Linked DNA regions of Daphnia pulex. The protein of the gene in region 2 purifies or fractionates together with the protein of the main gene of each other region. This does not show direct contact. Links are inferred from orthologs where the notes say so. Each region holds a gene or a part of one and is shown on either strand. Other genes may lie near its edges.

Region 1 (10,014 bases), on a different chromosome or scaffold from region 2:
CTTCCATGTAAACCTTGCAGCAAATAATTAACTTAGCAATGTTAACTTTTGTTTTATGTTCTTCCTCAGTCCATAAAACTTCATTGGCGAAAATAAAATATGTATAATTGCTTTGGAAATTATATACTTATTGTTTTGTAATTTCTTTTTTTTTTTTGGGGGGGGGGGTTCTTGCATGCTTATAGTTTATGGTTATTTAACAGGATGTATTTTTGTTAAAGACTACTGCGGATTTAGTCACGGCTCGAATATTAATATTTTGTTGAGCTGTCTGATTTTTTGAACTGTTAATTCATTTAACAAGTGATTCATTTATCCGACACTCAAAGAAATCGTTTCGGGGGGTTTTGATTATTCGGAACTCGTCACTGGGGGTTCTAAAAATTAACATATAGATGGTATTCCAATCAAAAAGTAGTAGTCGAGAAAAAAGTCATGCGCAGTTTACGCCGATACGCACCATTGTGGCCGATAGGAGAACTAAAATTTGTATCACGCTTGACACTAAACGTAGGTACAATCCTTTGTTAGACAAGCGCAAGTTCCACCCCGCGCGCCGTTTTCTCTGTTAAACAGAGAAAACGCGGCCTTATGAGGGGGTGACAACCCGACTACATTCAATATGACACAAAAAATCTGAAAATGAAGAATGTTCTCTTCATTTCAGAGTTTTCCGCATCTTCCTAGCTCTACCCGTTCTGTAGTTATCCCCCCTTAAAGTACCCTAATTTGATAAAAAGCTCTACGGAGCGTTCCCAAATTTAGGGCTTGAGTCAAAAGCTACCCTTCCCTTATTAGGAAAAATCCAAAAGAAATCAGCTTCATGATAACCACAATGGCTACGGCCAAAAAAAAATTCATCGTAATCCGACGAAAATTGGATTTTTGGGAACGCCGAGAAAAACGCCTTTTTCCATAAGGTTCTCTCGCGCGTTCCCAAACTTTAGGTAGGTACTGTATCTCGGCTTTTAAGCCAAGTATTGAAAAAATATAAAAAATGTTTGAAGAGGTGGGCTATCCCATCATTTAAAAAAATTTTATTATATATATAGGTGCAGCAGTTTACGAGAAAACTGCTGCATAAAACCAAAAAAGTCAAAATTTCGGATACCCCCCCCCCCTTGATTTTTTTTTGGTAATACCTCCCAAACTACAAACGCTAGGCGATTGCGGTTTTTTCCAATCTACTTAGCGAAAAAAAATTTGCACAGGAACCATCTGTTTGTTTATTTTTATAACCCCCAGCGACGATTTCCGCGTAATGAAAAACCCCCCAAAACGGTCTCTTTGAGTGGCGGATCGCTTGTTAAAAATTGTAAATGATAATGAAAGTAAACAAAATTTTGAACACATTTTTATAATGTACATTAGGTTTTCAGTTCATTTATTTAAAGAATCAATGAATAATTGTTATAATCAGAGTATCAGTATCAGACCCGTTTTTCCCATATAAACCATTACCCATATGGACAGATCTTGTGATTGGTCTGCTAGTCACGTGTTATAGTTGACCAAAAAAAAGGTCAGCCTACAGCAAAAATGGATTCGTAAGCGGAATAAAAAAAACTTGCAGCAGCAGTTCTCCAAACCCCAAACCACCACTAGGGTGCGCACTAGTCGACGAGTCGCACGACTTTTTGCTCTGCGGTTACCTTTAGATTTAAAAATGGTCTGTACTCTGTAGCTACAAATGTTTAGTGGTATTTTCTGAAAGACTATTGTTCGACTTCGTACTGTTTTCAGGTACTTACTTAGAAAGTAAGTTTAAATAATGTTCATTTTAAAAAAAAATATTACAATTTTTTGGGAACCCCCGAAAAAAACCTATTAGTTTACTATAGTCATGGGTATGGAGAGATGGTTGCCAATGACCATGTTAAATTTCCCAAAAGGGGTCGTTCGCTCATTTTACTAAAAGGTCTCTTTGTATGTCCATATGTCGCAACAGCCTAGATGGCGTTGATTCAAAGAGACCTCCCTATGCCTCCACACAAAAGTCGCTAGTAAATAAGTAGCTTCCCGTCGAATCCCCTTATGGGAAATTTAACATGGTCATTGGCAACCATCTCTCCACACCCCTGCTTCACTTGATCAGATCTGAGAATATTATTTCTTTACAATCCTCATTATGAAGAACTAATTAAACCTTTGATTGAACAATATAAATATTATTTGTTTTAGACTTTGTTTCAATCTTTTATCGTCTCTGGTTCAAAATTCCTTTATTCGCTTTATGCATACAGTGGTTTTTAGAGTTATCTGTGTTAAAAAAGACTTTTTTCTTCCTCTTTTCAAAAGAGAAAGAACGACATGTACAAAGAGAAGAAATTTCGCGGAATGGATTCAAATAACCAACAAAAATTAAATGGCCGCTCTTGTTTTCAGTCGATTTATGTAACGTTTCAGTTCATCATCAGAAACGAGATGTTCAGCTCTAATAGCCACCCGATTGTTGCATCCCATCCAATAACATCGGGTTTTCGAGTTTGTTGCTATCAGTCCCATGATGATTTCCCTTTCATATGTGTGTTTACAGTTCAGGTTTTTAACAGGATCAGAAAATTCTTTCTTTGAATAAGGATCAATTGTCTGAATGGTTTCTCCAGTGACTGCCAGGTCGTCTTCATTATTCATTGCTTGGTCTTCTGCATTGTTAATTTCATCTTCACCAAAATTCTTCATAGTGATGTACAAAGGATCTTTTTCCAAAAACCCTTCATGATGTTTCTCCATTTCATTTCTCAAAGTATTTTTCAACAACTAAACAGTAGAACAGATAAAAGATTAAAACTTGTTTAAGTGTGCTTCCATAGATTAACAAGTTTAATAAGTAAAGTCTTACTTCATTGATTTCATCGAAAGCAACTGAGCTTTCTCTACCCTCTGCAATGTCTTTCTTCACTTTTTCAGTGCATAACTGAATTACTTTCTGCTTGCTTGTTTTAAGGTCTTTGTATTTTGTGTCGAGCAAGACATAGTCTTTCATTACACTTCGGAGGTCATCCAGTAATTCAGGAATTTCTATATGTAAGAATCAACTAATGAAGAAAAGTTTAAAATTGATGTGCACCAACTCAATGTATACCTTCATTTGAACAAAAATTTGGCAGCATGTCGTAAACTTGAATGACCTTTTCTTTTGCCTGTTTAATGTTTTCAGCTATGTTTGAATTAGGACCTGGAAGTCTATGATCCATTTTGGTAAAATTTTCTCTTTGAAGGGTTGTTATCAAACACTTTATGACAATCAGGTGAAGATTTTACTTTTTTCAATTATTCTTCTAGTAACTGACTTCAGCTTTAGTGAGCAAAAGGATTGAAATTTAAAAACTCAATTTTTTTTTACCTCCTCCCACTTTTTTTACCTCTGTATTTCTCCCTCTTTATTTTCTGCCATCTAACGGTCAAAATAAGAAAACATGTTTTTTTAGAAATCTCTCTGACCTTCTGCATGCAATCATGGTTGAAAAATGCTTATTCTTATTGTAATTTGTGGCGCGCCGGTCTAGATAAAATTTTCTTAATTATTAACTGTTTTTCTGTTACGAAACGTAAGGTAATTGAGGCAAATACCAACGACCTAAATACCTGGAAGGGGGCAGCGCGAGGGCAGCGCTGTTGAGCCGCCTAGTGACTGTCAGCCGAAAGTCGAAAATCTATAGTGTGGGTTAAGAAACCTAGGTTGCAGCACCTTCGCTGAATACCGAAGCAATCTCGAGCGAAGACGAAGAGTTTCCTCGTGAAAAAAACTTAAAAAAAAAACAAGTCATGGCTGCTGCTCAATCCAGTTCGAAAAGTATTTGCACATCTGACTTGAGATTTTGATTTCTAAAAAGTACGAAAATTACTAATGCAAGTATAAATCTGATCTGTTTACAGTCGTTCAGTTATTTCGACGAGGATGTATCGAGGTTCCTGATATTATGATAGGAATGTGTCTTACAATTTCGGGTAATGTTTCTAAATAATTCACACAGTTAAACCAATTTATCATTGACACAGTAGACACACATTATTTTCTACATGACATCTACATGATTATTTTCTATAAAGGGATTTGCTTAGCTAGTTATGGAGTCTATCGATCGTCGAAGATGGAAGTATCAAGACCTTTTAAAGATCATTATATAGGTAAAGTCAGGATATACAGTAGGTGTATTGTGGTATAATACTAATGCTATTATTATGTTTAAATTTACAGTTAAAAGAGATGATGATCCAGATGCAGCGAAATATATCAGATTTCATCAGAATCCAAAATATTAATTTAGTGTATTGTTGTATCATAGAGGAACACTTTTGAATGATAGAGAATACATTGTACAAGCTAATCACATGATCCATCCTTCCATCCATTTCGCCATCTCTGGTTAACTAAACTACAATCAAATTCTGGTTTCCCTAGCTTAACATTAACTTCATTGTGCATGGCACATAGCCACTGAGATAGTATAAAATTGTTCTGTGTTGCAGGTGGGTTTGCAATCAATCTATAGGAAAACAAAAATTGTAAGCAAGTTTTCTTCACAAATAAGCTGTTTCACTTACCGCTCTTTGAAATCTTCAGAACAATCAGTGCATGGATAGAATTTTGTAAACAGTGCCATGAATTGAACCATGTCCTTCTGTTGATCAACAGTAGGTGTTTCAGGATAATATGCAGCTATTGTGTGGAGAACACTCCAAGAGTTTCTGCCCAATTGTTGACGATCCAAGGGGCATTCTGGAAATGTTTTCTCTACTGTGTGTGAAGACTTTGTCAGAAAACTTGACTTTGTTTCAGCAGCAGTAGATTGAGGAATCTATTCAAAATATAAAAACATTGGAAGTTGATTAATTAGCATTTTGAGGATCTCAGTAATGTAACAGTAATAATGTTCCTTTGATGCATCCTAACAAAACTTAGAAAAGGATATGATTGGGTAAGAGCAGTAGTTAAAAAAAGAAGATAGTACATAACAGTTTACCTGACTATTCATTTTCTCCTGAACATTGGCATTTTGGTTTAAATTGGTAGTCCATGTTTTAAAATCTGAACATGCTCGACAAGGTTTTTTTATCCCTTTATTTCCGTGGGGGGAAAAATCCTCGCTTTGTTGACTCGCCATTTTCAATTCAAATCCCCAGCAGATGGAGCTGAGTTTTCTATTTTCCCGCTACTTTTCAAATCAATTGAAAGAGATACGTCTATGACAAGTTTTATGAAGCGCCAAAGTAACAAAAAAATTTACCGCTCAAATTTTTACTGCAATTCGCCATGTTTACTACTATTTCCTGGTGATATTGAATTTTTTTGTTCTCTCCGCGTCTTCGTAGTAAGGACTAAGGAGTTTGGCATTATCGACTGATTGTTGTTAACTGACAACTGATTACTGAAGTGCCCCAACGGTTCGAAATGATCAGAGAATAGGTATCAACATTGATTCGGAGCAATTTTTGGTCACGGGCCGCGGTAGATCGTGTAAGTGTGTCGACGTAAACGATCTAAACTGTACTGTATATTTCTGAAGTTTTAGTCGGCGATTGTTATCTTCAGTCGTTCTGTATGATGCAATTCTTATCTAAAATTAAGAAGAATAGGTGTTTTATTATTAGCGTACTCGAATGCACATTCCATAAAAAATAAGTAATGTATCAGATCGTTTATTTGGACCAATCTTTTGTGACATTATCATATATTGGTGTAAAAAATAGATGGCTTCCAAGGTTTATGTAGCTTTGCAGCCTACTACGTCACCAGTAAAACTTTCAGAATAAATAATTAGCTATTATTATTTAAATGCTTTATAATAATATTGTCACGGCCGGGCCTATGCGGGCTTCATGTTGCTGTGGCCGACCAGTGCTGCAGTTTCACGGAGCTGGCTCCACGATTGCACGAGCCCAGCCTCCGCCAAAGCACATGCACTGCCGTCACTACAGACCGACGACAGTGCCCAACACCAGTCAAAACGGGAGACCCACACACCAGTCAGGGCCAAACTCGTCTACCTTAAGTCTACAGGGGGTCGTCTTTAAAGTAGAGGGAACCAAGGTGACCTTATGTCATCGTCGTCAGTCGTCCCCTTATCGTAATTTCCCAGAATTGTCTCTAAGCTCGACGTCTGTACTAAACTGTACATGACATTTTCCCCTCCTTAATGGAATGATCGACCTCGATCATCCGAATCGTATACGGCGGAAGGTTAAATCTACGACGCATTAGGTATTTTTTTTTTATTCGGCGACGGTTTCGGATTGTTTCGCTCGATAACTTTCTCGCAACTCGACGTGCCGGTCACACCGCTTGTGACATAATTGTACGCAGCTCAACTATACGACTTTATTTCGGCGAGCGTTTGTTTCACTCGTACGACGACGCCCTGTACAGTTCTACGCAACTGTATAAACTTTTACGGAAATCGCAAGGACGCTCCGCAGTTCAATTCGGTCAATTCTTTTTGTTTCCGTACGGCGCACTGCTGCAGCTACAGACTTTCGCGAAATCATTGCCTTCGCTAATGAGGCCTCTCAACCATGGTTCGCGACGCGCTTGGTGGCCACCATTTCTTTCGAGCTCTGTACTCAATTCCGGGCTCTGTGTTCAGCTTTGTGCTCTGCGCCCTGCTTTGCGCTCTGCGCTCTGCACGCTTGTGCTCTGCGCTCTGCGACTTGCTCCGCGCTCTGCACTATGCTTCAACACGACCCTTACGTCAGTCCGACCACGACTTCGGTTCGGCTATTCTCGCCGCGATCTTGATCCGGCAGCTCCTTGGTTCATTTGCATCCGTTCTGGTACATTCCGGTTGTTATTGGCCGTCCCACCGCTTCACTTCAGGTATCGAACGCCATCCGTCACATCTGGCTCCATCGGCTATCATTCTACCTGAAACAGACTCAAAAACACTGGTGGTTTTTTTGTTATTAGCTTCAGCATCTTATTAGGCCTATACACAATCCCAATTCAGCCGCTAGCTTAGATGCATCTAAAATCCTTTGAAACACATAAATTCTATTCGCTCATACATCAACATCACATCGGTTCAGTCGCGCAGTTTACTTCAGCTTAAACGGACGCTTAACGCTTGTTAGACGGAATCTCCCAAAACATTTAACTCTGGAAATCCATACAAAATCGGAGGGACCATAAAAACAGGATGATTCGAAATAACTTCGCATTAGTTTTCAGCATCCCTCGACCTGGTTCGGCCTAACAGAATTCGCACATCGCCGCAGACAAAATTAAGCACGAGTGGCGTTGTTTCCTGAGCGAGCCAGAAATCGCACATCAAAACGCGCGGTCGAGCGCGCGTTGCTATCCCATGCTCCCAAACACTACACGCTTGTATACGCTCCCGTTAATGTAAAAACGTGGGTCCAACGTACGAATAACAATAGTCCGTCGTGAGAACTTGGGAATAATTGACTGATGTTCAGATCAACAACGTAATTACAGCTGAAACTAACCCTGTGATAGTCTTGAGATCAAAATTAACGGTTTCAATCGAACGCAAACATTATTTCCCAAATATTTGGCCCCGCGAATTTCTCTAGTTGCCATTTTTGCGTAACGTTAATTACAAGACCGAATATCAGCAGATTCTCAATAGCGCTTCAACAGTTCAATCTCAGAAGCTAGCATGCTGACAACTCGCGTATTTCAATGACAACGATAAAAAAAACAACTGGACATAAAAAAAAACTTATTCTTAGGCCACGGAACGCAAGCCGTTGTCCGTCAATTTCTGGGAGTCAGCTATTCCATCCAGGGCAATCCAATGCGCGTCTTCGAATCGCTGTCTCCAACGGGTCGCCCACGTCCAATCAGGATAACGAAGAGATCGTTCGAAAACTCACTTAAACGCATCTGGTCGAGCCACACGTGAAAGCATCCGCCTACCCTGCATCTCCACCAAATGTCACGGCCGGGCCTATGCGGGCTTCATGTTGCTGTGGCCGACCAGTGCTGCAGTTTCACGGAGCTGGCTCCACGATTGCACGAGCCCAGCCTCCGCCAAAGCACATGCACTGCCGTCACTACAGACCGACGACAGTGCCCAACACCAGTCAAAACGGGAGACCCACACACCAGTCAGGGCCAAACTCGTCTACCTTAAGTCTACAGGGGGTCGTCTTTAAAGTAGAGGGAACCAAGGTGACCTTATGTCATCGTCGTCAGTCGTCCCCTTATCGTAATTTCCCAGAATTGTCTCTAAGCTCGACGTCTGTACTAAACTGTACGTGACAATATTATAAAGCTAATATTATTATTAATCGCCTGTTGCTGTTTTTTTTTTTTTTAAAGAACTGGTCGTTTTTTAAAGCTGTTATTGCTCCATTCGAGTACGATTAATTAAGCGATTTGGTATCCATGTTGTTCAACGGGCTCATACTCGCGCTCGTACTTGGCCACGAGCCCACGACTCTAGCGCCGACATGGCACGAAGATGGCGCCAGCAGCATATAGCCGACGGGAGTAGCGGCAGCGGTGTAGCCGAGGGAAGCGCTATAACCAGCATATGCGAAACCAGGACTCCGGGAGCAGCGGCGTAGGGAAGTCCAGTGAAGCCGGCATAAGGCAAGTACTGGAGAGCAGCGGCAACGGCAGCCACCAAAACAGCCAAAACCATCTACAAGGAAACAAACAACAGACAAATGATTTCAATTTCAGGGTGGTTAAATGATATGCGTTGCAGAGGCGAATTGTTTGGGCTACGTACCAAGCACTTCATGCTGATTTGAGTAGAAGAGTAAGCATAAGTCTGAACTATTAGCTACATAAAACTCAATTAGACGTTTAAATTGCACGTCGCTATAGCAGCCTACGGTAATAAATTATTTACCATTGACTTGTTTACAAGGAGAGGTATAAGAAATAGATAATTGTTGAGCTTACTTGACGATCAAGTGTTGTGTCTATTCCACCTTTGAATGTTCAATTCATAAACCTTTTCGTCAGAAACGAGCGCGCGTTCCTCGCGCGTTTCCGTGCGACACAAGTTTGCCCAACGGAAATATATGTACCATAGCAGTTTGTGCCTCTTTCTTGTCACTTTTCTTTATGATGTTGGGAACTACGTATACATACGTATTTGGCACAAAAGTGGGGTTAGATAGAAAAGAAAACCAAGAAAACGACGACCAGCTAAGAAAAAAGGTCTGCTAAGTTCCAGGTGTGTGGATGAACATATAAAATTTGAAAGTAGGCTACTATGCAGTCTGAAATGAGTGAAATCTCCTGTTGGATGTTGTTGCCTCCTTCAGCTCTGCGACTTCGTTGCTATCAGTCATACGGCTCCTCACAAACCTGAACAAAAGAAAGATTGTGCTACTGCTTCGTATTCGTAATTTCAGCTGCAGTTTGCGACACTCATCGCAAGGAACGTGAATTGTTACATTTTTAAATAAGGAAAAATTATGAAGGTTAACGAGGTGAAATAATATTTATACAAATAGAAACACAAAATTAAAACATACTGGGCTTGAGTGTATGAGTTGATATGTGTCACTTGAACAAATTTAAGCGAAAAGAATTTGCTATATTTATTATCTAAGAATTAACATTTAAAGAAAAAGAGATCGTTTAAAAAAATGTATTTCTTTTCCATTGAGCTGATTTCCGTCTTTATTCCCCATATTCAATATAATCATTGTGTATCCTTGTTGTTCGACGGGCTCGGGCTTTTATTAGGCCACAACTTAAACGCCGTTCTGGTAAGACATGGGGCCAGGGACAACGTGGAAGATGGAGGGAGGCAGCGGCGAGGTAAACAACGGAGGCAGCGATGCAGCTTAAGGGAGAGTCACCATAACTACCATATAATAACTCAAAGTTATATGTGCTATGCATTGGCGGAACTCAAGGACTAACACGGTTGCATGTTTTTCTTTATTTTTGTAAACTGGCTACGGTGTCCACCCGTTTCGGCACTTTTTTCGGCACTTTCTATTTTGACGTTTTCGGCACCCATATAAAACGCTTGGTCCCCCCTTGTATTTAAAATCTCCTCGTTCATTAAAAAAATCTTTCCGTTT
Region 2 (10,604 bases):
AAAATAAAAAAAAACCCTGGGCTACGTTCTTCTCGATTGGCTTTTAAAAAACTCTGACGCAATTCGCATTGATTTCATTTTCAAGGCCCTGGAAAAATGACAAAACAATTTCGCTTTTCTCCCGAACAACCGCAGTGGGAATCTACATTTAAAAAAAAAAAGGAAAAAAAGATAGACGCCATTGAATTCGGGTAGGGCAGCTGTACATATCTATTTTATTTTAGATATATATTAAAAGGTCCCTCCTGGAAAAAGGTTCACTAGTCCGTAACAATCCGCGGCGCGCGTGTGTCGAACAACACACACACACACAGCTGCCCGGTGTGTTACATTATGAGTGACGAGCATTTCCGTTGAACTGGACGAAACACTGCCGACTCTCGTTTCCCGTTCGGGGGGGAGAGAAGAATAGTATAAGAGAAAGCAGACAAAAATTTGAAAGAACCGTTCGGCCACCAATTATGTCAGTGCGGTTGCACCACGGATCGCGTCTAATCACTTCCGCTTTTTTCTCTTTAATTTTAGGCCCTGAAAAAATTGAGTGACCTTTTCCCTGTGACTGGAAAAAGAAATATGCAGATTTTTCCCCAACATCCCTGGAGCTGGTTGGTAAAAGTAGTACACTGGGACTATTTTTTCTTTAAAAAAAAAGAGAACGAGATATTATTATTACCTGGCGTTGTGTTTTATTTCCCGAGGAGATTGCGTCTCGTCATTTTCATTGATTGTGGTCGGTCGTATATTGTCGAAAGCTGCGGCTATTTGTGGGTCAAATCTCCAAATGATGATGAACGGCCGCCGCCGTTCCATGCCATTCCGTGGGAAAAGAATTTTTGGCCGTCGGTTGAAAAAGAAAACGGACCATAAGTTTCTCATCAACCGCCAGCCGAGCTGCTATAGACCATGTGTTGTATTAGTCCGTCGACACCTTTTCTCTAATCAGAAGCTGGGGGGTTGATGATGAGCACCCAGGTGTTGATTGCCCCATCATCTACGAGAAAGGGAAGAATATCACAAAAGTATTTTTTTATTATTTTTATTATTCCTACGCGACTTGACACGGTCAACAATTTCTCTTTATCCGCCGTGGCAGTTTCTTTTTATCTAAAGAGAGAAACATCTGCTTTCAATTTGAATATACCTCCGTGACGCTGTATAACTTCCGACGAATATTCTCAATAGGTAGACACAAGCATTGGATACGCCGACTATATCCAGAGCTAGCCCATCATCATTAGCAACATGCTGTAAAGTATAATATCATTGTCCTAATGTAAAAATATTAAAAAATAAAAAAAAGTTTGGAGGCTTTCACTCTCACCGGCTATTGCCGGTGTGCGAACGCTTTCTCTTCTAGTGACGATCCAAAGATGATGATGTTCTCATTGAATGAAAATTTTCCTTCGACTTCTTTTTCTCACACATTAGCATTTTTAAGGTGGAAACAAACTCAGAAAACGTGAAAGTTTCGCCACACATTTTCATGTCTTTCTCCTGAAAAATTTGCATATCAGAAACTACACCAAATACCCAATAGAGTCGCAATGGCCTACAACATGCTCTAATCAGAACAAGGAATATAGCGACACACTATTCGAGTTGACACGAATAACACGTTTGGCTTCTTTTCCTCATTCTGGAATAACTCTAACATGGGAATGAAAGTAACTCTGCGCTAGTTTCAAATTCTCCACTGATTGGACAGCGAAAAATACCAAGGCCGGGGGAAAAAAATATTTTTCTAACCAACTTTCGCCTGAGATCTTATTTCAGAGATTTTGTGATCCCGTTATGATTCAAATTAATTATCACCCGCATTATTATCTCGTATGGAACGTGCTCTTTGAAACGATGATTGGGAAATTATATACTCACATACAGATGGAGATGGGTGGTGGTGGCCCACCCAGTGTATAAATATGTACATTTCCTATCTCTGCGACGATGCTGGTGCTGAGAGACGGTTCCTATAATGGTGTTGATTTCCAGGAGGATTGTGTGTGTTATCGGGAGCGATACCAGCAGAAACTGTAGTGGGCGGCGAGTCAGGAAAAAAAAAGTTCAAGTGCTTTTTTGTTTTCCATCTTGATAAGTTCCATCTTATCTTCCTATTTGGTCCACATAAACTATTAGACAGAACGATAAATTTTTTCAAGGAGATAAAAAAAAGGGAAAGAAGGAACTTGTTGAGAATTAAAATTCCGTTGGGGATAAACCCATCACAGCCAGCAGCAGACGGGACTTACTCGACTGGAAAACATTTTTCTTTCTTCTGCTACATCTGAAATTCGAATGAATGAATTATTTTCTTATATAAAATACATAGACGTTCACATCGTGTATTATTACCAAATCTACTAGGGAAAAAAAGGGAAATAAAACACATTGCAAGTAAAATCCCAGGGCTATATACTATAAGCCGGTTAAAGAAGAAAAAAAATAAGCAGTTTTGTCCATGTTTTTTCTCGACTTAGAAAAAGGGGAGTGAAGAAAAAAAAACATATTTATTCAACGGTCAACATCTGCCGATGTTTTCCTTACACCCACCCACCCCGGGAGAGAGCAGACACACACACTTTACTGTGTACAACTCAGAGAAAGAAAAGAAAAAAACACTGATATGTATAGACATATCAGAGTTAAACTTTGAATGTAGAAGATAATTGAAAAGCAATGGGCCAACTGAGCCCCAAAACATGTTGGTTGGCTTCCTATTTTCCCCCTCGAAAACGTCACCTATTGTGTGTGTGTGTGTGTGTCTTTCCCCAACAACTGTGCATAGAAATTTATCTTTTTTAGTTTTTCTTACCTGAGATCTATCCCCCCTTTCACTCCGCCAATTTGTTCCAGGTGGGCAGAAAAAGAAGATGAAAAGAACAACTGAAGAGTTAGAAGCAAACCAGGTAGGATCTTCAACCCATTTTATGACTGCTATTCGTCAGTGTCGCTAGACTCTCTCAGCTTCATTTTTTCTCAATGGAACACACACATACACACAGCCCAGAGATGATTCCATTGTGATTAGAAATCTTTTTCAGAATGAACTTGAGGACACTAAAAAGGGAAAATCGACTACCTCTCAAGACACAAACCACGTGCAACTCGGCCTTCTCACAATTTGTCACCGTGTCACTCATGACCCCTAGATGGCTCTCTATGCTTTCTAATTATAATTTCATCATCATTAATTTTCCCATTCTCTTCAGTAGGTTTCGACTTTCACTTCCTGGAGTTAAAATTTCTTTCAATAAAAATATAAAGTACACGAGAAATTGGAACTTTCGAGAGTTTTATTATCACAACTCTCAAACGGGAGGGGGGAAAATACACACAGACACACGCACACCTCAAAGTGACTTGCGCGCAAAGAGGCTGGCTCTTGTTTGCGGGAATGGCTAGAGGAATTTTTTTGTTATCTTGTTCCAAAAAAAAAACGGAAATCGAACGAAAAAAAAAAAGTTTTTTCGGAATGATGGTAGGTAGGCGTCAACAGCTAACAAACACACCAAGTCACGATAATCTACTCGCAAAATGAAGGAAACAAAGGAGTTTGGAGATTGGAAAAAAAAAATTTGTGTGGAAACAAAATTATAAGAAACTGCTTTTAAACTGAAAGGAAAAAAAACAGCACGTGTGAAACCAGGTGGATTTTTATCTTGATTCTTCTTCCTCCTCCTCCTCTCCCCTCTTTCATTCATCAGCCTCTTCACCACCTTATTGCGCCAGGTGACTACAAAGTATCGGCTGTGGTGATGTTGGTGACGAATGGGTTTAGAAGCATTTGCGATGGACGATGGATGGGCCTGACTCATCATACTCTTGCTTCGAGATCCACATCTGTTGGAAAGTGGACAGAGAAGCCAAGATGGAGCCACCGATCCAGACGGAGTATTTGCGCTCCGGTGGGGCGATGATCTTGATCTTCATGGTAGATGGAGCAAGAGCAGTGATCTCCTTCTGCATACGATCAGCAATGCCGGGGTACATGGTGGTGCCGCCAGAAAGGACAGTGTTGGCGTACAGATCCTTACGGATGTCAACGTCGCACTTCATGATCGAGTTGTAGGTGGTCTCATGCAGACCGCAAGACTCCATACCCAAGAATGAAGGCTGGAACAGAGCCTCTGGGCAACGGAATCGCTCATTGCCAATGGTGATGACCTGACCGTCGGGGAGTTCGTAAGACTTCTCCAATGAAGTAGAGGAGGCAGCAGTGGCCATCTCTTGTTCGAAGTCCAAAGCGACATAGCAAAGCTTCTCCTTGATGTCACGAACGATTTCACGCTCGGCTGAAAATTTAAATACAAATTTAATAAAATTGGCATACATTTAAAATAATGTTAAAAACATACCAGTGGTGGTGAAGGAGTAACCGCGTTCAGTCAAAATCTTCATCAAGTAATCGGTCAAGTCACGTCCAGCCAAGTCCAAACGTAGGATGGCATGGGGCAGAGCGTAACCTTGAATGAGAAAAACAAATAAGCCATGAATTTCGTGTTCCATTGTTTCGTGATTAATTGGGAAAAAAAAAATTACCTTCGTAAATTGGGACAGTGTGGGAAACACCATCACCAGAGTCCAACACGATACCAGTGGTACGACCAGAAGCGTACAGGGAAAGCACGGCCTGAATGGCGACGTACATGGCCGGGGTGTTGAAGGTCTCGAACATGATCTAGAATAATAACATTTTTTATTAGTAAATTTGGTTAATTGATTTAATAACAAGAAAAAATATCAAACCTGAGTCATCTTCTCGCGGTTGGCCTTGGGGTTGAGAGGAGCTTCGGTCAAGAGGACGGGGTGTTCCTCAGGGGCGACACGCAACTCGTTGTAGAAAGTGTGATGCCAGATCTTTTCCATGTCATCCCAGTTGGTGACGATTCCGTGCTCAATTGGGTACTTCAAAGTGAGGATACCACGCTTGGATTGAGCCTCATCTCCCACGTACGAGTCCTTTTGGCCCATGCCGACCTAAATACCAAAAAATGAAAAGCATGAGCATTTTCCCACTACTCAGGATTTTGAAAATCCCCCAAAAAACACCCTCCCACTGCAGAGGTATTGATTTAAAGTGAAAATAAGATGAGTATGCAGTGTAGCAGTGATGGATCAATATTCATAAACCCCCCCCCCCACTACTACTCGGCAAAATATTTATTGAATTACACCATTGGCTTTTGATGGACTAATTATCTAATTATCTTACCATGACACCCTGATGACGGGGGCGTCCGACGATCGATGGGAAAACGGCGCGGGGAGCATCGTCGCCAGCAAAGCCAGCTTTGCACATGCCAGAGCCGTTGTCAACGACCAATGCTGCTACTTCATCGTCACACATGTTGGAGCTGGGAGGTTAAGGTTAGTCTGTCAAAAGAAAAATTTAGAATGAGCATTCATTTCACAAAACAGTTCAACTGTATAAAGCTATAAAGAGAAGACTTTAAACTATTTCTTATCAGTTACGAAAGGCCAAGTAGGACAACTCATCCAATCTGTCAAAAACTGTCATTGCCCAAGCCAGACATTGTGAAATGCTCATGGCATCATATCTACTATCAGACGGCTTGTCAAAAGATAGGGGCGACGCCGCACCCACGTACTTAAATCTCGATCTGAGATAACAATCACCTTGGATAATGCCACAATGCACAAAACCATTAAAACTGTCAAAAGTCCAAGGACTAATAATCTCTAGCAAGGCTATGGGAATAGAAACAGCGAAACAATTTCGACAGAGGAAACACCGGTCTCACACAAGGGCAATGGGAGAAAATGGCGATTCCCCCAACGGATTTTTCCGTTTTCCTCGAGGGGTGTGGACCCCTATTGATTCGCGTATGGCTGCGTATTACTCACAGAGACGCCGGTTACAAAGTGGGGAGAAACAATTTGAATTTTGACGCAACAACGACTATGACACGCTTCTACGAACACAAAAAGACAAACTAGATGCAATGGCACACGTTTTCTATCGATTAAATTAAACTAAAAACGAGCAATGTTTAAAAAATGTAAAGAAATAAAATTCGGCCTTTACCGGAGAAAGCAAAGTTACACCAAAGCCGGCACCGCAAGCAATAACGTGGCGATGAGACGCTTGCCTTCCCTTTATGCCCTTCTCTGTCCCTTCCTCTTCCTTCTCCTTTTTAGATCTTGCAACGTTGTCGCTACGGCGTGGGGAGCTTCGAGAAATTAAGGCCGAAACGCTGCAACTGACGCCACCCCAACTTTCGATCTAAAAGCGCCACCTAACATGAAATCGCAAATTTTTAAAATAACAGTCAACTTGATATTTTATATGGTAACTATTCAAGCTAGATCGCTTTGAATGAATTAATAGATAATTTGAGGCTGATTTCATAGTCAACAGTCACCTAAAGCTAATTAAACATTGGGTTGCTGTAGCCGACACTAGGGGCGCTGGCGTACAACCACGGCGATCGATACGATCGCATCATTTGGGTTAACCTAGGGCCGAAGTCTGGTATTTGTGAATTCTGCTTGGAATTTACGTTGCCCCGTTCGTTCGTTCTTGCTTTTCCGTTGCCTTATATGGTCATGAATTTGTCGCTGAAAAAGAGGATGGGAAGTCCCACTCCCACCTTTAGGGATAAACCCCACCCGACCGCTTTTTCTACACTCCCTTCTATCAACAAGCCTACACGTGTCCTTATAAACGCAACACATTTTGACATCTATAGATACCTTTTGTTTTTACCATATCCTGCTCCAAATATGAAACTATCGTTGAAGAGATTGTAGGCAAACCAAAATTCCTTTCCTGTTAAGATTAGAGCGTTTGCATCATACTGTTGTAACAGAAAATTAACGTCGAGTTTGAGATCATCAATTGCGTGTTATAAATATAACGGCTTCAATTCAGACGACTAGAGACGCCTTACAGATGACAGCTGGCTTAAGCTTAACGGAATAAACAATTTCAATGCGTTATGCGTTGGCGACTTTTGAAGGTACATGCGAAAAAGCTAGAAAGACAAAACAAAATTCAGTTCATTCTAGCACAAATCATTTAGCTGACACAGTTAGACCCTGAGATTTTCTCCTAAATTTCTCCTCATTTTTCCCAAGAATTCCTGTTCCAAACAATTAAGCTCGGTCGTCTAGTCCAAAAGTTCCCAATTGTTGTACCGTTCCACAATAAATTGGATTGCATCATTCAAGAAACATCAAGATAAGCATTTCAGTGCTGCACCTTCATTCAAGTATTCAACCGGCTCCGTCGGAAAATGACGACGCAAAATGTCACATGGTTTATATACGAGTTGAGCCTCTGGTCCACAGGTGGCGTTCAAATCGCGTGACTTCAGACGAAAATACTTTTAACGCTTTTAGCCGTCAGCTCTGCACGTGAGAATATCATAGTTTTCGCCGGTATTCCGGTTTTTTCCTTTAATTTTCTTGAATATTCATTGCGAATATTAAATTTGTGCCATAAACGAAAAATGTCTTACTGCAAAGAAGAAGGTAAGTTACAAAGTTTGTTATTTATTCTCTCTGGTAATTCAGATAACCGAATGACTAATCGCACCATTCACTAAAGTAACGACATTTGTAAGTAGATGTATAGATACAAAAGTTCTTGTTGATTAGATTTTTTAAAATCTTGATAGAGTTTTGGAAATTGTACTTATTAAGCAAAGAAACTGGAGAATCAAAACTCAGATTGATTAAATCAGTGCCCCACTTCGATCCAATCCTAACTGTTCTCAGCTTAAAAACTATGAACTATACATATTTTGAACAAGCCTGAATCTCATTGAATTTAAGAATGCTTCCTTTGAAAAATGCTTGTTTGTTTGCTGATCTTTATTGGATTTCTCACTAAAAATATGCACACTAGACAATGTTTCAAACGGTGAAAAATTGTTATGTAATCTCCATCAATGAAACCAACATTTTTTGTAAAGCTTAAAAATCATCTGACACTTTCTCCAAGTAAACACAGCTTAAATGTAGCAGCTCTCATTTGAGCCCCAATTTCTACTGTGTTGAAGTAGTGGCTGAGGCATTATCCACTCCTTCTATATCTGGCATAAAATTTTCTGCACTACAGTCCCTGGTGTCTGATTTGCTGTACTTTGATAGTCTCTCTCTGTCATGAACTTGTGGTTTTTCACTTATACCTTAAATGTCATTAGCATTAAACATTTTTTTAATTATTCTGCAGGAAAAGACAAAATTGTCTTTCTAACTCCCGAGGATTTGCAGAAACCTAGCACACTCACCTTCCCCGATGAAGATGAGCCAGCAGGTCTTATGCTGCCAAATGGTGATATTAACTGGGACTGCCCGTGTTTAGGAGGAATGGCCACTGGTCCGTGTGGAGTTGATTTCCGAGAAGCATTCAGTTGCTTCCATTATAGGTGATAACACATTTTCAGTTTGCTTTTTTATTTGCCTACTAAATGATGTATTTCGTTTTTATAGCGATGCTGAACCCAAGGGCAGTGACTGCTTTGAATCCTTTAAGGCGATGCAAGAATGCATGTCCAATTATCCTACATTATATGGGAACGATGATAAGCCATCAGGAGAGGAGGACGAAGAAAACGAAGTGCCCAAAGAAGAGAGCAAAGAACCCTCAAAAGAAGATTCAAAATCTGAAGCTCAAGCAAAAACATGATGTCCATTATAGGAATTTAGAGCTACAAATTGTGTTTTAATTTGCTGCATCTCATGTAATAGCATTCTATACATAGTCATTTCTTCGTCGTCTACAGAGTTCCTTGGGTAGAAGGATAGAAAAAACGCTTCTCTGTTGCAAAAAAAAAATTAAAACTCGGTTTGAGAACAAATGCGCTTAAACATTTAACTTTGTATTTAAACTCAAAATTTTTAGAAATATTTCGACCCTAAAGGTGCTGTGAAGGAGACAAGATGCCGATCAGCAATGGCGTGAAGAAGCATTAAAGGCCACTAATTAAGTAGCGAATGTGAACTCAAATTTCTCCGTTTCCCATTAGGTAGAAATAATTTGTAATTCACCTTAATTCAGTAATCTTCCTCAAACAGCTCGAATGATGCAACAAGCCAAACGACGGCCAGTATTGCCATTGGCTAGACTCTCTGTATCACGATTTTGTCCCAAATCATCCTCCTTCTCTTTGATCTAGATTTTTTTTAGGTAACAACAGATTTAAGTTTTTATTCAAATTATACGCCATTTTAGGTTTCAGTTACCACAAGGGTTCGGTGTAGAATGGAATTAGGTCCAGTCATCAGCGTCGCGAGAGAATCGGTAAACATCGCGTTAATACCTTGGTTTTCAATAGCTTCCACGTTCCCGAAATCTCCAACGTGCCTAAAGCGGAAAATGGCGATTTCACGTCGTGTCATCCTGGAAACAAAAAGAATACCTTGTACGAGACTTTGGTCCTCCGTGAACAGAGCTAGTTGGGTTGAAGTGTCCTCCAGCTTGGTTGCAATTGCCATCCTCATCTGGGACGAGCTCGTGAACGTGCAATCCGTGCAGACTTTTCCCGTTTGTACGCAATCCCCTTAGATTGACGTGAACGTTTAGAGGGCCACCCGTCGTCTGAGTGAAAGCGACTTTGCCAACGATGTTGTGTTTAGTCCTCTGCAGGGCCTTATTCGGCTTCATTTCGCAAACTGCTTGATAAGTCTTGGAGCCCCTGGGTGGTTTGGGCGTCGTTACTGGCTTGGGCCGATCTGCTGCTGGTCCATGTCCGTCGTCATCTTCCAGATGTTTAAGCAGATTTTCGTTGTGATGCGCAGCGTGACCGTCGTGATTCCTCAACATGAAATGAACGTCAATTTCATGCTCAATCTCCTTATTCATCTGGAGATGAGGTAAGTATAGATTTGATTAGCAAATGGTATCATTAATATTTTTATCCTATTTTTAGTATAGTAATTACTTTGCCGTGGTGGATGCCGTTATGCTCTCCGTGGCCGTGGTCCAGCTCCAAATGCTTCAACATCTTTTCATCGTGATGGGCTTTGTGTTCTTCCTCCGTTTCGAAACTTGCGTTGGCGTGATGGAACTCGTGTTCGTGGCGAAGGACTTCCTGTTTTTTTTACGGCGTTCGTAAAATGAGAAAGTATTCCAATTAGATTATCTTTGCCATAAGTTCCAATTTAAAAAAAATAATGCAGTTTCAGAGAACCTTTTCGTCGGGAGTGTGTGGTTTATGGGGCTCAATGCCGGCTGGCCCAGCTACCGTTCGCCCGTGGACTTGCTCGAGATGCTAAAAATGAGGAAATAGCGAACGGAGTTTAATGGATTGGTTCGTGATAATAAAATCTTAAAATAAAATTTATAGCTCAGCAAGGGGGGAAAAACCTTCAGATGCCGTTCGGAATGGTGGATCTCGTGGCCATTATCCTCGTGACCCAGATGATGTACCTGTGAAAAAGTTTGGGGGGTGGTTATATTTTTTTACTTGTTAGCAGCTAGGAAACTAAATGGCGTGAAGATGGGGTAATGTAACGTTAGAGAACCAATTTTCGTAAATGAACTAGACCTGGTGTTCGTGATTTTCTATAGCGGCGTGAATGTCGAAACTTTCACGAACTTCAGATTCCAATTCCCTGAGGGCTTTCCACAGCTTGGAAAC
Region 3 (10,154 bases), on a different chromosome or scaffold from region 2:
GGTGCCTATCATTGCTGCAGTAACATCACAAATTACGAGTAAACGCGATTAAAGTTTAAATGATGTAAGACCGCTAACAATTGAGATTCATTCCAGCCACTGGTAAAGTATATAGCTAGCTCACTAAGATGCTATCTTTAATAAATCAACTAGTATGGAATAAGTTATTATCGCGTCACGCAATAGACATTTGACATTTAATTTCTTGTGCCTGACCTTGGCGATGTGTCACAATACAAACTACACAACCAACACAATAAAAAAGGTAGCAGCCCACCTAGCAAAAGTTCGCACAGTTCGTGAACAAACAGTGAACAAAAACTCCCTGTTCATGAACAATGTACATGAACATGGAGTGTACATTTTCCTCCCTATTGCCGCCCTCAGTGCGTGAACAGTTCACGAACAAAAGTGAACAAAAGACCTTCCCAGTGCGTGGACTGGGTGTATTTTGTTCATATTTAGGGAATAAAATCTGTACTATTATTTGCTGCTAGTCGTTGTAATTTTTTAATAAATAATACGTAAAGTGCACTTAACTTGATTATATTGTCCATTAGAACACATATATGACATATTAGTTAACACATGACATACAAGATAACACCAAGTCAGAATTGAACACAACAGTTGCATATTGAGTAAACAATTAAATCACTGGAGAAATTGGATCAATGGCTCTTGAATTCTCGTTGGATGATGAAGAATGTGTTCTTTTGCAATTTCCAAGGAAAAAAGAACTGGGAAAGTAAATTGCAGGTTTTCTCGACAAACTCTTCTTCCTTGTTTCATGAGTTGTTTTCAAGCCGTCAGATTCATTTTCAGCTGCACGTTGATCCATTTCTTTTGCCTGATTCCAGTAACCTAAAGTGAAATAATTGAAATGTAGTTATTTTAAAAATCAGATAAACACAGAGTGTCAGCAAAGGAATATAACATCATATCTTTAATGCAAATGTCACTCATGAGTGAACTTACCAAAGACTAAGCCTTCTGTATTGATACTCGGTCCAGGTATCTGGTATTACATGATCCATGATGCTATTCATCCTTTTTTGTCCCTTCAAGTGGGACGGATACTTAAGAACATCCTAAGCAATGGCCACCTCTCTGAGACTATTGAAATCAGATAAACACACAGTGTCAGCAAAAGAATATAACATCATATCTTTAATGCAAATGTCACTCATGAGTGAACTTACCAAAGACTAAGCCTTCTGTATTGATACTCGGTCCAGGTATCTGGTATTACATGATCCATGATGCTCTCCATTCTTTTTTGTCCCTTCAAGTGGGACGGATACTTGAGAACATCCTAAGCAATGGCCACCTGACTATTGAAATCAGATAAACACACAGTGTCAGCAAAGGAATATAACATCATATCGTTAATGCAAAATGTCACTCATGAGTGAACTTACCAATGACTCTAAGCCTCCTTCCTGTATTGATACTCGGTCCAGGTATCTTCTGGTATTACATGATCCATGATGCTCTCCATTCTTTTTTGTCCCTTCATGTGGGACGGATACTTGAGAACATCCTAAGCAATGGCCACCTCTCTGAGACTATTGAAATCAGATAAATACAGTGTCAGCAAAGGAATATAACATCATATCGTTAATGCAAAATGTCACTCATGAGTGAACTTACCACAGACTCTAATCCTCCTGTATTCATACTCGGTCCAGGAATCTTCTGGTATAACATGATCCATTATGCTCTTCATCCTTTTTGGTCCCTTCAAGTTGGACGGATACTTAAGAACATTCTCATCAATGGTCCACCGCTCTGAGACTATTGCAAGTTCTGTTCTGTCTTCCACAAACAATTCTGCTAATATATACTTCCATGAAATGGCGGTTTTAGTCATTCCAAGATCCTATTTGTAAATAAAATACAGTAAGTTGTCGATTGTGAACATCTCTAATGTATAGAAGTAGCGTGGCCTTTATGATAATCAACCGGCATTTGCTTAGCAAAAGTATATACTACGATACACTTAAAATTTCTTGACTGAAAACAAAATATGTTGTAATTCATTACATAAGTAACAAGTGTTCTCACCTTTTCTGTGCGAAATATTGTGAAAAAATCAATTTTTAGATGGCATTAACGAGATCAAATCCGCCATTTGTTCAAGTCTTTCTTACTAATTCCGTACAAGCTATAGTAGACAACAACGTCGCCAGATGAAAAATTTTTAATTATAAAAATTAGTTCTGCTTTTGCACCGATAATTAATGAGTTCGTTAATTTTTTTAAATTTTATATAATTTTGAAATAAGTTGTAAATGGTGATTCAAACATTGTATAAAAAATTAAGTTTTTAATTCTACGTTTCAAACATGTCAATACTGCAATTTTCTTAACTATCGATAATTGGGACTTGTCAAAATTACAGTTGCATTTTTTAATGGCGTCCGGATCAGTCCTTTTTGACACGTAAAATTAGTGCTTGGCTTTCATTACATTAAAAACTGCACTTATTACATTGCCCTGGACTTAATTGATTGTGAGATCTTTATTGTTGCAGTTAAAATAAGGTAAAAAAATTTAATCAGCACTTGTCATTCATGGAAATGATATTGATGAAATTTTTTTTAATATTTTGAACAGGTGTTTTTTATGATTATCTAAAAAGTAAACACATCATACTTCCTATAAACTAGCCATTGAGCTTTTAGTGTTCTGTAAAAAATAAACTCATCCTCAGGTACAAACAATTGGAGACAATACCTCATAGATGTAAACCTGATTTAATACTCGTGCTGTTTGCTTTTAGATTTAGAGGTTGCGAGTCCAATTGAGGCTGGATAAGTTGGCTCTTTCAGAACATTCTGTAAACTTGCGAAAGACAAGGACTGTTGGAGGTAATAATTACAATAGTTGTCTACCGTTGTTATTCAAGGTTTTCTTTAACCTTTCATTTTTTAGTAGGCATGTCAAAATTGTTTAAGAAGAGGAAAGAAAATGTCAAACCCCGTCAACTGCGCCATCGTTTTTTGCACACCTTGACAAATGCCATTGAAGAAGAAACGAACGTGAGCTGGGGGATGAATTTATGACAGAGAGCGGCTTTATGGGTGACGATGAAGAGGAAATATCCTATGATGACTCCAACAATGACAATGTAGAGTTTTTCTCCGTTCACCAAATAGAAAGGGATGATAGCCTTCGACAGAGCACTGTAAGCCACGAATCATTTTATGAAGGACTAGAATCTGAATATGATTTGGAAAGTGTCGTCAGTGATGAAGGTGTCCCTTTAGAAAGCTGTGATTCATCGACATACAACTCTTCGGACAGCGACTCAGACTATGCAACTGAGAAGAATGAAGTCAACGAGCAAGACTTCCATCACGCTGATATTGAAGAAATCCTTGTAGATGACAACGATGTCGATGGTGCTACTGAGTTACGAAACTTCTTGGCCACCTTCGTAACGAACAAAAATCTCTCCGGGAGTGCTGGGAATTATTTGTTGAAAGGATTAAAGGCTCTGAATCGAATTCAATTTTGTCTATCAAATATGTTGATTGTCTTTCTCCTACCTTACAACTATGGCCAGTAGCATTCATTTTGCATAAAATTTTTCTTGTACCAAATGTTTTTAATTGTGAAGAGGCTGAAGAAGGAGGTGAACGTTATGTGGCTTTTCCACTTCTCATGGAAAATAAAATTGAGTGAATATCAATACATAATCAATTCATAGAAGAAAAGTTGGTGTTTTTGAGTAAATTTATCATTCAGTTTTATTAAACGTAAAAAATGTCAAAATTATTATAAAACTAGCTTGTTCGTATTTGTGCGGGATTTGTGAGCAGTAAGAAAAAGTATACATTTTGGGAGTGAACTGAGAGTGATATGTTCACTCACAAAACGAGGGAAAAAATGTGTGCGGAGATTTTTGACGTGTTCGTGTTTTGTTCACTATCTGGGAGAACTCGTGCTAGCTGGGAGGTAGGCCATCATACACAATGTTTGTATTTGTCAACTACTGGTGGTATCGAGAACTGGAGTACTCTGCGGAAGTCTGAACAACAGGAGCTTGACATTTCGAGACGTATATAAAATGATAATGTGTTTCTGTTTTTGTGTACACAAGGTATTTGCATAATACCATTATTGGGCCATCGCAATTTACCAAAAAGATCGGAGACTTCATAAAAAAATTTTTTATTTCTTTTTTCTAGTTACGTTATTGATTATTTCCTCGGGTTTTTAAAAGTAATTTAATAGTAATGTTCAGGACGAGTACGAATACATTTCGTTAAACTATATTATTATTATTTTTTTACAATCAACACAAATTGAACATCTTAGGCTCCTCTTTCCATTTCAATAGGTTTAAACTGACCTCTCAGCTCTTTTTCCATTTCAAAAACCTTTTTCTTAAATTGTAATGCAATTTCAGCATTCGGCTCTACTCCATCACCTTTAGTGTACATTCTGCTAACATTGGCACAAGCATATATATTACCAAGATCACAAGCCTTTATGCTGTAATTGAAGGCAGAGGTCATGTTTTTTTCTAAAACTTCAGGTACACCAGTCAAATACATGCCACTAAGATAGTAGCAGCCATTGTGGTTCCCCTTCTCACACGACTGGTTCAGAAATCCCATTCCTTGTGGGTAATCTAGTTTAACTTTAATTTTTTCATTGTTGGCTGTACACATAAGGCCAGCATACAGACAAGAATCTGCATCTCCAAAATTGCACCCTTTCTTAAAGTAATCAAATGCTTTTGATGGGTCTGCAGGACCACCTTTACCAGTTAAAGCATAAGAAGCAAATTTATGGCAGCTGCGGCTGAATTGGTAGTCATCACATGTAGATCTGTACAATGAAGCTGCTTTGTTGAAATCTTTTTTGATGCTTTCCATGAAATCTCCCAGAAGGTGACATACTGCAACATACAAATCATTACGTCATTACTTTAAACGTGATTTTGGTCACGAATACCGGCACTTACCTTCCGGTTTCTTTTCGCTCAAACATCCAAACCTGTACTCAGTTCCTAAATTGTCCAAGTACTGTTTCACCTCTTCATCAGTTTTTAGATCCCACGCCATGACGGAAATGTAAATATTTTCTTCTGAATTAATACAAATGGAATTAAGATTTAAACTTTGTTAGAATGTTACATCATTGGTTACTTTGAAAGTTGATTTTTCGTTTTCGTCTGCAAGGCTCACAGACTCCATCTATGAAGAGATTTCCATGTTTCGTTGTAATTTGGAAGGAGATAAAAAAAAAATAATAATTTAATCTAAGAAGGCATAATTAAGAAGAAGTAGAAACAAAAGTATTTAATTAAATTTTTATTCAAAAATCACATTTCTTTTTCAAAATATTAAAAAACACAATTCAAACTAAACTCTCGAGTCTCGAGTCTCGACGTCTCAGACTCTCAGTCTCAGGCTTCCCTTTCCAGTTCAACGGGTTTAAATTGATCTTTCAGTTCCTTTCCCATAACAATGACTTTTTTCTTATATACATTTGCTAATTCAGGATTCTTCTCAACTCCATCACCTTTTTTGTACATTCTGCTTATATTTGCACAAGCATATATATTTCCAAGTTCACAAGCCTTGTTGCTGTAGTCATATGCTGTGGCCATATTTTTCTTCAAAACATCAGGAACCCCGAAAAAATATATCCCACTGATATAGTGACAGCTGTTGTGGTTTCCTTTGTCACAGGACTGATTCAGAAATCCCATTCCTTGAAGATAATCTTGTTTAATTTTAGTGTTTTCATTGTCATACATACACATAAGGCCAGCAAAAAAGCAGGAGCCTGAATCTTCCAAATGACAGCCTTTCTTAAAGTATTCAAATGCTTTCAGGTAGTCGGGTGGACTACCTTTACCAGTCAATGAATAGGTAGCATATTTATGACAGCTGTGGCTGAAACTGTAGTCATCACAAGTGGATCGATATATAATAGCGGCTTTTTTCAAATCCCTTTTGAAGCCTTCCATGAAATCTCCTAGAAGATGGCATACTGCATCAAACAAACAAACAAACCATTAAGTGTGTGAACGTGGTAACATTGGTCACGCCTATTGCACTCCGGAGTCCGGAGCGCTCTAGTGTCAAAAGTGGCTATTGCACTCCGGAGTCCGGAGTCCTCTAGCGTCAAAAGTGGCTATTGCACTCCGGAAAGGAAATATGAAGTCAAATATGAAGTCATTTATGGCGACGAATGGCAAATAACGACTGATTCTGTGTTTTTACTGGTTTTGAATTCATTAAAAATTAAATTAAGGGTAAGAAATAAATTTGCAATATATTTATAACAATCAAATATATTTGAATTTCATTAATAAACACAAATAGCCATTAGCCAGTATAAAAGATGGGACTTAGTATTGTTAACTTAGCTAGAGTCGGAGAGTCCACCATTGAATCAGTACCTTAGATTCAAATTGCAAATAAACAGGAATAAAGTAGAATGTATAAACATATCAATTCAGGGTGATGTTTCTTGATAAACATTTCAACTTCTTGCTCTATTCTCCTCGGCGTTTGAACCCAAAGCAACCCATCATCAAAGGACGAGGCGCTTCCATATTCCGCTCTTAAAGGATCTTTGATTGACGCCGCCATATGTGCCAATTCTTTCCCCTCTTAAATCAATTACTTTTTCATTGTCAGTTCATTCATGTGATGACAAAGCACCGAGTGAAACTGAACACGAAAATACCAAGTATTTTTTCGCACTCACAATTCAGTTAAAATGTCTTTTGATATTCTCACTATAATAAAGGAAACTGCATGTTAACTTAGTTATGTATTGTTTTGTTTCAAGATATGAAAGACGTGTCTAGCTGTTAGTTTATTGGAATAAGGGACACGGACATTGCATGGTTTATAGCGTGAAATCAGCTGAATCACACGTTACGTGTCAATCAGCAGAAATAGTGAGTTGCTGGTCAATGCGTTTCAAGGTCACAAAGAACCCCTCGAAGCCCCGTTCTGAGAATTCCGGCTCGACCTTCAGGCAAGTATGGGGGTGTCAGAGGGTGACTCACTATGTCGTGTGTTTATAGCGTGTTTAACAACCTGTCTAAATCCTTACTTTGAATATAATGATCTCTGTGTAATATAAACTGCAATGAAATACAGAAATACCTGATTTCCAATCCTTTTGGTGATATTGATATCGAGGCTTATGAAGAATTTTGTGTGAGTAGGAATTGTGGTAACACCTTAGCAAATAGAGCAAGAAGTTAAAAATGTTAACAAGAAATATCACCCTGAATTGATATGTTTTATAAATTCTCCTTTATTCCTGTTGCAAGACACTTAACTATATTTACAATTTGAATTTTAAGGTACTGATTCAATGTTGGACATAGTACTCTAGCTAAGTTAACAATAACTAAATATAAGTTCCATCTTACTACTATCATTATCCGACTATCTGTATTTATTAGTGAAATTCAAATATATTTGATTGTTATTTATTTTGAATTCAAATAAAAACCATTCAAATTTCAAAACACAGAAACAGAATGCCATTCGCCGCCAAATGAAAGTACTACATGTTTCCTTTCCGGAGTGCAATAGCCATTTTTGACGCTAGAGGACTCCGGACTCCGGAGTGCAATAGCCACTTTTGACACTAGAGCGCTCCGGACTCCGGAGTGCAATAGATTTTACCGGTAACATTGGTCACAAATACCGATCTCACCTTCAGGTTTCTTTTCGTTGAAACATCCAAACCTATAGTCGTTTCCCAACTTATCAGAGAATTGTTTCACCTCTTCCTCATTTTTGAAATTCCATGCCATAACAGAACTTGACGAATTTGTTTTTATTTTGGTACATGTATAATAACACAAACGTTTGCGGGCTTGCGGCTAGGGACTACTTTATTTTTCGTCTGCACTGCCAGACTGCGCGCTCCATCTGTTAAAGGACTAGCATTATTGTTAAAACGCCATCTGTGAAAGGGAAATTTCAAGTCGTGACATTTTTTAAAGATTAAAAAAAATCAAAAAATGAAATTATTCTTGGACATGTGCACTCTAGTGCTGAATTATTTATAGATCATGGAAAAATATATTAATTTTCTTTTTAAAATTCTGCTGAGAAAAGAAAATACTGCAAAGCCCACGCGTGTCTTAATTACTAATTGAAATTTCTTCCTTCGCGAACGCACGATCCGCGTCGTCACTTTTCCGCGGTAACTAGAGTCGGACGTGATTTTGCATCTTATCTGGTCCATTTTTACCCACAGGTTACGTGCTTTGTCACGCTTACAATAGTGGCGTCACAAATATTTTTAAAATGAAAAAAAAGGGAAAATGTCTTGTTGAAATGAAGCCAATCCAGTAAATACCGGCGTGCTCACGCAAACGTTGAAACTTTTTTGTAATGGACGACCAACTTGGCAACTAGAGTATGTTTATTAGGGTGTTAAGTTAAGGGTGAATAATTTTTTAAGCCGAAAAAGTGAAATCTGTAAAGTTATTTTGGGATAATAGATTTTCACGGAGATCGCTTCAATCAGAAAGCGTTATAAGACAACGAATCGGAAAAACAAAACGGAAGTTATCCATTATACACAACTGCCAACCGTGGTAAAAGAATCAAATGCATTGAGGACTTGGGAAAACCGCAAAACGGATGTTGTTGAACGGTCAGCGGCCTAGCGATTCTGCGATCTGCTCCATTGTCGTGCTACATCATAAATTCGTTTAGTGCCTCGGTTTTCCCTCTAGTGCCCCTTACCGTTCAAAACGGCAGCAATTTCTGTACGTGGCGCTGAATTACCTTTCTCAGAGCTATAGATACCTGGTCAGTTCATGGCTGTGTTGGCTTCCCTATCCCGGATTCAGGGTAAACGTAAGCCGATTTTCAGGGGGTTTTAGGGCGGAGCTTGTCAGAAGTTGTGAAGTGGAAGAATGAATCAGCGCCATCTAGTGATAAGACGTTGAATACTTTCGGCGGCCATTTTTGTGTAATATGTGAATACGGCGGCCATCATCGTGTATTACGTGAATGAAGCCTAACCATAATTTCTGTAAAAATGGTTGGCAGGTGTGCTGTTCCTGGTTGTAAAACAACATATTACAAAGGAAATCAAAAAGAAAATGATGTAACTTTGTTTGCAGTTCCTAAAACTTCATTATCAAAATGGCAAGAACTAATTCCATGTAGCAATTTGACGAGCACCTCACGTATTTGCTCCCGTCATTTTGACGAAAGTGACTTTAAATCAGGGATTTAAATTTTTAACGTGTTCCATCCTTTCCAACGTAGGCATCTTAATGCTGGAGCAATTCCCAAACATTTTCTCATAAATGGTATGTATTTCCTTTCCTGTAAAATCTTTAATGTCACACAGAAACTAAACCATTTTCATTTTAGATACAATCTAGCCGACAAGCAATGTAAAATGTTGATGGTTTTAAATGGAGAAATAACCTTAATGGTATTTTTACATATGTTTATTTTGTTTAACATCAAATAACGCTATTCTTAAATATGTATTGCAGTGGAAGCAAATGCTAGCAATGCATCAGTAAGGAAACGACCAAAAGTAGACAAACCACCTACTACGTCAAAGAGAAAAAAAGTTGACAGTACAGGTATTGATAATAGTTCTCTTTACATTTTATTTTGAAGAGCAATTGCTTTAATTTTATCTTATAGCACCCTCCATGGAAGTTACCTCTACTATTCAAGAAACAATCGACATTCACCAGGCTGCTGAAGAAGGAATTGTTGATCCACTTCCTGATTCAAGCAAAGAAAATCTTGCTGTTGTCATTGAAGATACGACAGTTGCATCGCCTTCTATGGAAGCTACCTCTACTATTCAAGAATCAATGGACATTCCCCAGGCTGCTGAAGAAGCTATTTTTGATCCACTTCCTGATGTAATGAACAAAAACGTTGCTGTTGTCATTGAAGATTCGACAGTTACATCACCTTCTATGGAAGCAAGCTCTACTAATTTCAAGTCTAATTTTGTGACATTTCAGTCACTAGTAACTTTATCAATGATACCAAAGAATTGGATATGGTCTTTTGATCAAATCAAACAAATGATTTATTGCATTTCGATGGATCAACTACCAAATGGAAATTATAATGTGAAAAGTGTACATTTTCAAAACAAACAAGAAGTAATGT

The links.
Region 1: the proteins of mitochondrial intermembrane space import and assembly protein 40-B-like (region 2) and FAD-linked sulfhydryl oxidase ALR-like purify together in Homo sapiens (co-immunoprecipitation; 3 studies listed by BioGRID and IntAct, with this or other methods). This does not show direct contact. The link is inferred for Daphnia pulex from reciprocal best matches to the Homo sapiens genes CHCHD4 and GFER.
Region 3: the proteins of mitochondrial intermembrane space import and assembly protein 40-B-like (region 2) and cytochrome c oxidase assembly factor 7 homolog purify together in Homo sapiens (co-immunoprecipitation; 3 studies listed by BioGRID and IntAct, with this or other methods). This does not show direct contact. The link is inferred for Daphnia pulex from reciprocal best matches to the Homo sapiens genes CHCHD4 and COA7.

The regions. Positions count from the first base shown.
Region 1 is NC_060026.1:4,966,957-4,976,970, reverse strand, and holds FAD-linked sulfhydryl oxidase ALR-like, read right to left. Parts: upstream 5,137-10,014; 5' UTR 5,109-5,136; coding exon 4,968-5,108; intron 4,803-4,967; coding exon 4,549-4,802; intron 4,491-4,548; coding exon 4,328-4,490; 3' UTR 4,256-4,327; downstream 1-4,255. Other genes in the region: E3 SUMO-protein ligase NSE2-like, read right to left, coding at 2,362-2,760, 2,843-3,021, 3,086-3,197.
Region 2 is NC_060023.1:8,612,252-8,622,855, reverse strand, and holds mitochondrial intermembrane space import and assembly protein 40-B-like, read left to right. Parts: upstream 1-7,307; 5' UTR 7,308-7,469; coding exon 7,470-7,491; intron 7,492-8,194; coding exon 8,195-8,390; intron 8,391-8,454; coding exon 8,455-8,650; 3' UTR 8,651-8,735; downstream 8,736-10,604. Other genes in the region: actin, clone 403, read right to left, coding at 3,772-4,289, 4,353-4,460, 4,537-4,675, 4,744-4,974, 5,210-5,344; uncharacterized protein LOC124197866, read right to left, coding at 9,032-9,136, 9,208-9,328, 9,384-9,826, 9,906-10,055, 10,155-10,235, 10,331-10,393, 10,512-10,604.
Region 3 is NC_060019.1:6,008,560-6,018,713, reverse strand, and holds cytochrome c oxidase assembly factor 7 homolog, read right to left. Parts: upstream 5,309-10,154; 5' UTR 5,163-5,308; intron 5,102-5,162; 5' UTR 5,079-5,101; coding exon 4,979-5,078; intron 4,913-4,978; coding exon 4,323-4,912; 3' UTR 4,163-4,322; downstream 1-4,162. Other genes in the region: cytochrome c oxidase assembly factor 7 homolog, read right to left, coding at 5,423-6,012, 7,705-7,804; uncharacterized protein LOC124191332, read left to right, coding at 9,680-10,154. UniProt on the Homo sapiens protein: Required for assembly of mitochondrial respiratory chain complex I and complex IV.